Linked DNA regions of Canis lupus familiaris. The protein of the gene in region 1 interacts with the protein of each later gene in a pairwise test. Links are inferred from orthologs where the notes say so. Each region holds a gene or a part of one and is shown on either strand. Other genes may lie near its edges.

The links.
Region 2: the proteins of SRRM4 (region 1) and ZRSR2 interact in binary tests that used the Homo sapiens proteins (3 or more experiments, as listed by UniProt). The link is inferred for Canis lupus familiaris from reciprocal best matches to the Homo sapiens genes SRRM4 and ZRSR2.

What each region holds. Positions count from the first base shown.
Region 1 is NC_049247.1:15,661,596-15,665,409, forward strand, and holds part of SRRM4 (serine/arginine repetitive matrix protein 4), read left to right. Parts: intron 1-425; coding exon 426-629; intron 630-1,369; coding exon 1,370-1,480; intron 1,481-2,071; coding exon 2,072-2,212; intron 2,213-3,814. UniProt on the Homo sapiens protein: Splicing factor specifically required for neural cell differentiation.
Region 2 is NC_049260.1:12,099,395-12,103,208, forward strand, and holds part of ZRSR2 (U2 small nuclear ribonucleoprotein auxiliary factor 35 kDa subunit-related protein 2), read left to right. Parts: intron 1-2,057; coding exon 2,058-2,096; intron 2,097-2,721; coding exon 2,722-2,840; intron 2,841-3,814. UniProt on the Homo sapiens protein: Pre-mRNA-binding protein required for splicing of both U2- and U12-type introns. Selectively interacts with the 3'-splice site of U2- and U12-type pre-mRNAs and promotes different steps in U2 and U12 intron splicing.

The DNA.
Region 1 (3,814 bases):
CAGTGTATTTAATTCTAGTTAGCAACAGTTGCCTTCCCAAGGCTCTGAGCACCATGTCTGGGTGACTGCCAGTATTACAGAGATAGTGGAAAACCCACTACTACCCAACCCATTCTCATTAATGTAACCAGGATTAAAAAAGACTCCAAAGGAAATAAATGTCTATGTGATTTGGTGTTATTTACCATTATGCCCACTGACCTAAAATCCTCTGAAGTGCCCTTGTGGAATGTGTTCCCCTCTGTTCCTATTCCTCTAACATCTGTGCTCTGGAAAGTCTTTCCAGAGGCAGTAAGATGGGAATAGGTGGAAAGGGGTTTCTGAGAGTACCACAGCCTAGGCAAAGGTAGGCAGAGGAGTATCAGCAGATGCCTCCAGATCGGCAGGCAAGCCAGTGCTGACAGGAGTTCTCCCCACATCTGCAGAGGATTTCAGTCGCCATGCCTGGAATGTGCAGAGGTGAAGAAGTCTGGTTTGGTCCCATCCACAGCCCGGAGCTCCCCTATGAGAGGTTGCTCCCGCAGCCCTTCTTATGCCAGCACCCGCTCTTCCAGCCACTCCTCCCGATCCCCAAACCCCAGAGTCTCCCCCAGGTACACCCGAAGCCGATCCACCTCCTCTGGAAAAAGGTGAGTGCAGTTTTGGCCTCTGATCTGCAGAGCTTTCCTCCTTAGGGAGCTAGTTATGGTAACTGGAAATGTCCTTTGGCCCTGGTGGGGGGCGGGGGGGGAGGTCAGACAGATGAGTTTGAATGCCCACTGTACCCATTCCTAGCTGGTGGCTCAGATAACCTCTCTGAGCCTCAGTTTCCTTATCTGCAAAATGAAAACATTCACCTCTCAGTGTCTTTGTTTCCCAATCTGTGGAATGAGATTGATAATAGTACCTCGCCCTACAATGTGTTGAGGATTCAATGAGATAATGCACACAAAGCATTAATTCAATGAAATACCTAACAGCCTAACAGTCATAGCTAACCTTTCCTGTGTGCTGCCTATGTGAGGTATGTAAGTGATTTACTCATTGAATTTACAACTGTATAGGGAAAGTATGATTATTTATCCCCATTTTATAGATGAGAAAACAGAGGCTCAGAGAGGTGAGATCACCTGTCCAAAGTCACATAACTAGTAAGTGGCCTTAGATGGTAAGAACTCAGTAAGGAGGAGTTACCAATATTATTATTAGTCGCCCAAAAGAGAGGGAATTTCATTCTCAGGAAAGGGCCAGATTCCTGGGTCTGGCGTCCAGAAAGTCAAAGTCGCCCTCGGGGGACCAGCCGCATACAACCCTACCCCTGCGGGACGACCCCGGCACGGCCCCGGCGAAGCCCAGCAGGCCCTCGGGGACTGTTTACCGTGTCCCGCAGGTCCTACTCGCGCTCTTCCAGCTACTCCTCCAAGTCTGGCAAGAGGAGCCCGCCGAGCAGAAGCTCGCGATCGCGCCGCAGCCCCAGCTACTCGCGGTACAGCCCCGGCAGGTACAGCCCCGCCCCCAAGCCCGGGCTCCGCCTTCGCGGCCCCTCCCCCCGGCCTCTGCGCAGCGTCACCCAAGCCCCGCCCCAGCTCCCCCTTTGTCCAGCCTTGAGGGAGTAGGGATGGGGAGACCACCCAGCATCCTCGTAGTTTCTTTGGTCTCGGCTGGAGTGGAGACGTGTAACATATCCTGGGGTTCTAACGGCCCCCCTGGAAAGTACAGCCAGCCACACCCCAGAATTCGCATCCCCGGCCCTCAGCCTCTTCACGCACCTAATATTACCCTTGATCCCCGTTATTCAGAGCCGCAGTTGTTACGCATGCACCAGGGCCCTCTGGACCGCCACATCCTAACCCCGCAGCACCTAGGCCCCTGTAACGCCCACCCTCGAAGGCCGACACCCGCGCCCACGCCTGGTCTCCCCACAATACTGAACCAGAGCCCTGTCCTACTCCCCACCGCGTTCCCTGGGGCCCCGGGAGGAACCCAGCACCTGCTGCAATGAGGTGCGGGGCGCAGGGAAGAGGAAGTGAGTGCCCCTGGCTCATGCGGAAAAGCCAGCCCCGGCTCCCCAGTGACCCCCGCACCCCTTCAGGGAGCGGGACCCCAAGTACAATGAGAAGGACTCGCAGCAGCGGGAGCGCGAGCGAGCACGTCGGAGACGGCGGTCCTACTCGCCCATGCGCAAGCGCCGGAGAGACTCCCCGAGCCACCTGGAGGCGCGGAGGATAACCAGGTGAGGCCAGGAGGGCCGGGGTGCCCACCTTCACCCTCACTCCCACCCCTCCCACCCGTCGGGGCCTCGGGATCTCCCCTGCACCCCGTGGAGCTGGATTTCAGGATTGTGGGAGCTCAGGCAATTTGCGAGGCCTGACAGGAGAGGTCAGGGCCTCGGGGCGGGGCTAGGATGGGTGCCCCGGGACAGGGGTGGGGACAGCCTGAGGAGGGGGTGTGGCCGGGGTCTGCGGAGAGGGCTGCGAGGTCGCATCCCGGGCGAAGGGGGCAAAGCAGCGGGACCGGTCTTTTCCTGGGGGTGGAGCCGGCCAGCGAAGACGGATCACGGTCAGACCACATGCCAGGCTTTAATAGGCCCTGATCATAGCTGGCACCAAGTGTGGAGAGGGCAAGAAGGATCTTTAGGTGCCAAAGGAATTTAGAGGGAGCCTCGGTGGGCCAGGGGGAGAGCACTGGATCTGGAGTGGAACCCGGCTGTGCCACTTTCCTGGTAAGCTGGAGAAGTCTCTTCACCTCCCAGATTCTCAGTTCTCATCCATGAATATTTCCTTCAGGAGTGTGTATCATGAAGATGAAAAAAAAGGGGGGGCAAAGAGATGGGAACACACTTTGTAAACTGAAATGCAAAACACTAGAACCCTCGCTGTGTCATTGTTACAGATTGAATGGTCAGATTAGGTGGATCAGGTTGCCTCTAACAGTTAAGGTCTTAGATAAGAAAAGCCCTACAAAAAAAACCTGAGGTCTGAATGGACACATAGTTTTAGGCCTTGAAAGCAGGAAGAATGGCTGAGTGCTGTCCTGAAATTGGCTCCGGACAATCAGCTCCTCCTGGCCCTCCAAGGGTCAGCCATTCCATCCAGGGACTCACAGGAATGGAGCTTCGATGTCCTGGCTGCCCTGGGCCTCCTCCCTAGAGATGACCTGGAGGAGGGAAAAGCACTTGTGACTCCAAACAATAAGAATGGGGGCAATGGCATCACCTTCTCGGATATCCCATAGAACAGCACGGCACACACGAAGGGAGTCCTACTCCCACAGCATGGACCACAGGTGCCATTGGGGTGGACTTAGAAGAAGGCTGAGATAAACTGGCATTTCTAAAAGGCTCTCGTCTCCTGAGTCAACCTCAGATAATCCATCCTGATGAGCCATTCAGTGTTTCCCAAACTTTAGGCATCCAGCGGCATCCGAGCACTTTGCACTTACCTGTTTAGTAAGCTACTGTTGTTGACCTTTCTTTACACAGATATGTTCTTTCTTAGAGGTCCATACATTTAATGCAAAAGGAATGCACCACAGTATACCATAGCAAATGGAAGATCAGCCTCTCTTACCATAAATAGAAGGTTCCAGTAAAAGTAAAAAGAGATAAACAAAACGTGCAATTAAAGTCTAGATGTAGATTCGGTTGCCAGCTGGAGACTCCCAGCCTCAGGCTTGCTTGGCTCTCAAGTGAGAGCTGTCACTTCTCGAGACACCAGCACTAGATGGTCTCAGGACAGCAGGAGGAGCGCGCAAAAGGGTGTTTTCCCCAAGAGCCTGGGATGGAGGAAGGAGTCCGCTTCCCCTGGGGACGGCGGGCGCGCTCGGGGGGAGGCTG
Region 2 (3,814 bases), on another chromosome or scaffold:
ACTGGGTATGGAACCTGATGTGGGGCTTAATCCCATAACCCATGAGATCAGGACATGAGCCGAAACCAAGAGCTGGACACTCAGCTGTGATTGAGCTACCCAGGCACCCCTGCAGTGCAAATCTTTAACACCCTCATTTGAGCGCTGCATTATAGATGAGGCGAGGCCATGCTAATGTTTTAGGGGGCAGGGAAATTGTTGGGAGCTTGTCATTTTTTTATAGAGTAATTGATTCCCCCCGCCCCTTTTTTTTAAAGATGCTATTTGTTTATTCATGAGAGACACACACAGAGAGGCAGAAACATAGAGGGAGAAACAGACTCACTGCAGGGAGCCCGATGTGGGACTTGATCCCAGAACTTTGGGATCATGCCTTGAGCCAGAGGCAGACATTCAATCGCTGAGCCACCCAGGTGTCCCTCGATTCCCATTTTAACAGAGTGTTCTCAATTGAGGCCTTTGTGGCATCAGATTAAAGTTAAGCCTTATAAAAAAGCACAGGCTTTTCTTTCAAAGGAAGACAAGTGAGACCTTATGGAGAGGCAGGTAAGATAAAGTAGGTTCTAAGCATGTATAAAGGGATATGCAGTCATGTTTCTACTGTGTGCTAGATACTTCTCTAGTAGATAGAGATAAAGCAGTGAAAAATACAGTCCCTGCTCTCCTTGAGTTTTTGAGATGGGGAGCCAGATGAGTAAGCAAAAAAGATAATTTTAAGTGCTATAAAGAAATAAACAGAGTCATGTGATAGTGGGGTAGGGATGTGTACTTCTTTAAATTGCCTGGTCATGGAAGACTTGTCCAAGGAGCTGAGGTTTGAGCTGACACCTGAGTGCAAAAATGTTGGGGAAAGGGGTTCAGGCAGAGGGAAGAGGCCTGAGCATGGAGCTGAAAAGATGTCAGGATGCCTGAATCTTGGAGACCAAAGGAGAGAGTGGTGGGTGGTGAGGGAAGGGGTCAGGAAGGTAGGCAGGGTCAGATCATGTAAGGCCTCCTAGACTGGAAGGAGGAGTTTGCATTTTATATTGTCATGGGAAGCCATTAGCAGGGTTTTTAAGCAGGGTTTGACTTCACTTAATTCATGTCTATACCCTTAACAGATCATTCTAACTTTTGTATAAAGACAGGTCAGGGGGTGGAGAACAGGAGCGGTGACCAAGGAGACAAGAATGGAAATAGAGTGACCAGTTAGAAGACTGCTGTTCCAGATAGGACATGATGGTGGTTTGGATGAGGGCAGTGCTTAGTTAGGATAAGTTTACAGATGTGAGGTGTATGGTTGAACAGACAGGGAGGGGAAGGAAAAGGAGAGGAATTCCAGTTCTTCTTTTTAGGTTGTTAGTCCAAACAAGGGGGCAAACGGCAATGTCCTTTATGGAGATGTGGGGTGTTCAGGTGATTGGGGGTGGAGAAGAACCAGAGTTGCCTGGTGAGCATGTTAAGTTAACCAGGGGTCCTGGTAGCGTTCTCAAGTACGCAGCGAGGCAGAGGAGTCTTTTATGTAATGCTTTAAGGGGCTAGGGAAGAGAAGTCTGTCAAGAATAATTTAAAACTTGTTTAAATGACAGCTCAAAATTTACTGGCACATTGTAAGACTTCCTTTGCCTTACCGAAAAGTTTGATCTTTTTCATCAACCCGAGTTACTGCTGTTCATGTCATACTTTAATATCTGTTACGTGTTGATGATGTTTGATCTAAGCATTGCATTTTATAATAATTCTCTGATACTATATCAGTCATTTTAAAAGCTAGAATGTGGTATATATGAGCAAATATGCTAAGTATTACTGTTAACTGAAACAATTTAAGACTGTTTTGCAATGGGAGCTAATAAATGTCCTATTTGAATAAACAGTCTCAGCTATATGTCCTTTGAAAGCTTTTCAGAAGATCTGTGCTGTAGAAAGCAAATTAGAACCTGAAACCTTTGATGTGTGTGGGGTTTTGTTTTTGTTTTTATGTTTTTAATTGTTACAGAGATTCTTAACCAGAGAAACCAGACGTGACATTCCTGACTTGCAGGTTTTCATTAGTCCTATGTTTGCACCATTTGTAGGAAGCTGTGCAGAAGATGCTGGAGCAGGCTGAAAATGAGGTATTTTCAAATCTTTCATTCAGAATTAGAGATCAGTGAACATTTCTTTAAAAACGGTTCTTCCAGTATAATGTTAATTTTGTGGTAAGCTATTTAGGTCACATCTGAGTATCAGAATCACTTTTGTAGCTCTGCGATTTTTACAGCAGCAACAACAGCAGCAAAAGTTTTTTGATGAGCAAAAGCAAATGGTATCAAGTCACCTCTCTGGACTGTATTATTTATAGTCCTTACAGTGTGTGTGAGCAGCATCACACACTGTTGCCCTGAAATAAATGGTTTGACTTGCTACAGAGCAACTTTGGTCTCTCTCAGGGGTGGTTCCCTGACAAGTCCTTTGACCTCATTCAGAATGGCTGGGCAGAAGGGAGACCTCGGTGACAGTTCCTGGTAGCCACAGTGACTGACGCCTGATGATGGGCGATGACTGGGAGCCAGGAAAGACACGGTGCATGTCTCCGGGCAATTGTTCGTGAAGTTTGGATTGCCTGTTATGACCTAAATGTATATATTCTTATTCTTAAATCTATTTTTTATTTTTGGCCAAAATATTTGCATACATTTTAAACATGGAGTTCTTCATGGATTTTTACACCACCAATAAAGTCACGGTTATTTTCAACAGTTGGAAAATGGTGCCACATGGCAAAACCCAGAACCACCCATCGACTTAAGGATAATGGAGAAAGATCGAGCTAATTGTCCATTCTACAGTAAAACAGGAGCATGCAGATTTGGAGATAGGTAACTAATTTTGCTTTATCGGGTCAGAATTCAGTGGATCACAATGTCGAGGTTGTTCTCTTTGGGGGTGCAGCACGGGCTTGAGTTTGAGAGGTTCCCAGTCAGGTATCTGCTGCTTTCTTGCTGCTTCTCCAGTCACATTGCTCCTCCTGTACATGTTCCCTGGGTAGGCTCAGCCTAGTTCTCTGATAGGGCTTCCTTTGCATTCCTCTACAGCTTCATGAAGACCTTGTCCTTTTTGTTTTCTTCCTGTGCTTGCATGAGTCCACGTGGGACAATTTGGATGGAGAAAGAACATATTTCAAGAGACCGGAGCAGCTTGGCTTTATTTATTTTTATTTACTTATTTTTGAGTGGCCAACACCATGCACAGAAGAGACTTAAAAAAATTGGCATGCCCAAGGCTATCTGTGAAAGACAGGACCCGAGTGAATGAGGAAAAGTTTTCTCATTCCCCATTCTCAGTCTGTTTGCTTGGACTCAGGAACAGAGCCTGGGTGCAAAAACTGACTTAAGCAGCTGTCAGTTGGGGAGAGTTACTTAAGCCTTCTGAGCCTTAGTTTCCTCATCTGTAAAATGGGGATGAAAAATAGTCTCTCCTTTTGGAGGAGTTTGTGAGGCTGCAAGGAGTGAATGCAGGGCAAACCCAGACACCGTGCCAGGCATATGGCAAACACTGTCCCGAGTGTTGGCTGGTATTTTCATTTTGTTGTGGTTGTCCTTATTCTCTGAGACACTCGGCTGCCTGCCTCTTTTGGCTCCGTGTTTTTGAAACAAGCCATTCACATGGAGAACTAAGTGTCGGTTCATTCATTTAGCAAATATTTATTTATTTATTTATTTATTTATTTATTTATTTATTTATTTATTTAAAGATTTTATTTATTTATTCATGATAGTCACACAGAGAGAGAGAGAGAGAGAGGCAGAGAACACAGGCAGAGGGAGAAGCAGGCTCCATGCACCGGGAGCCC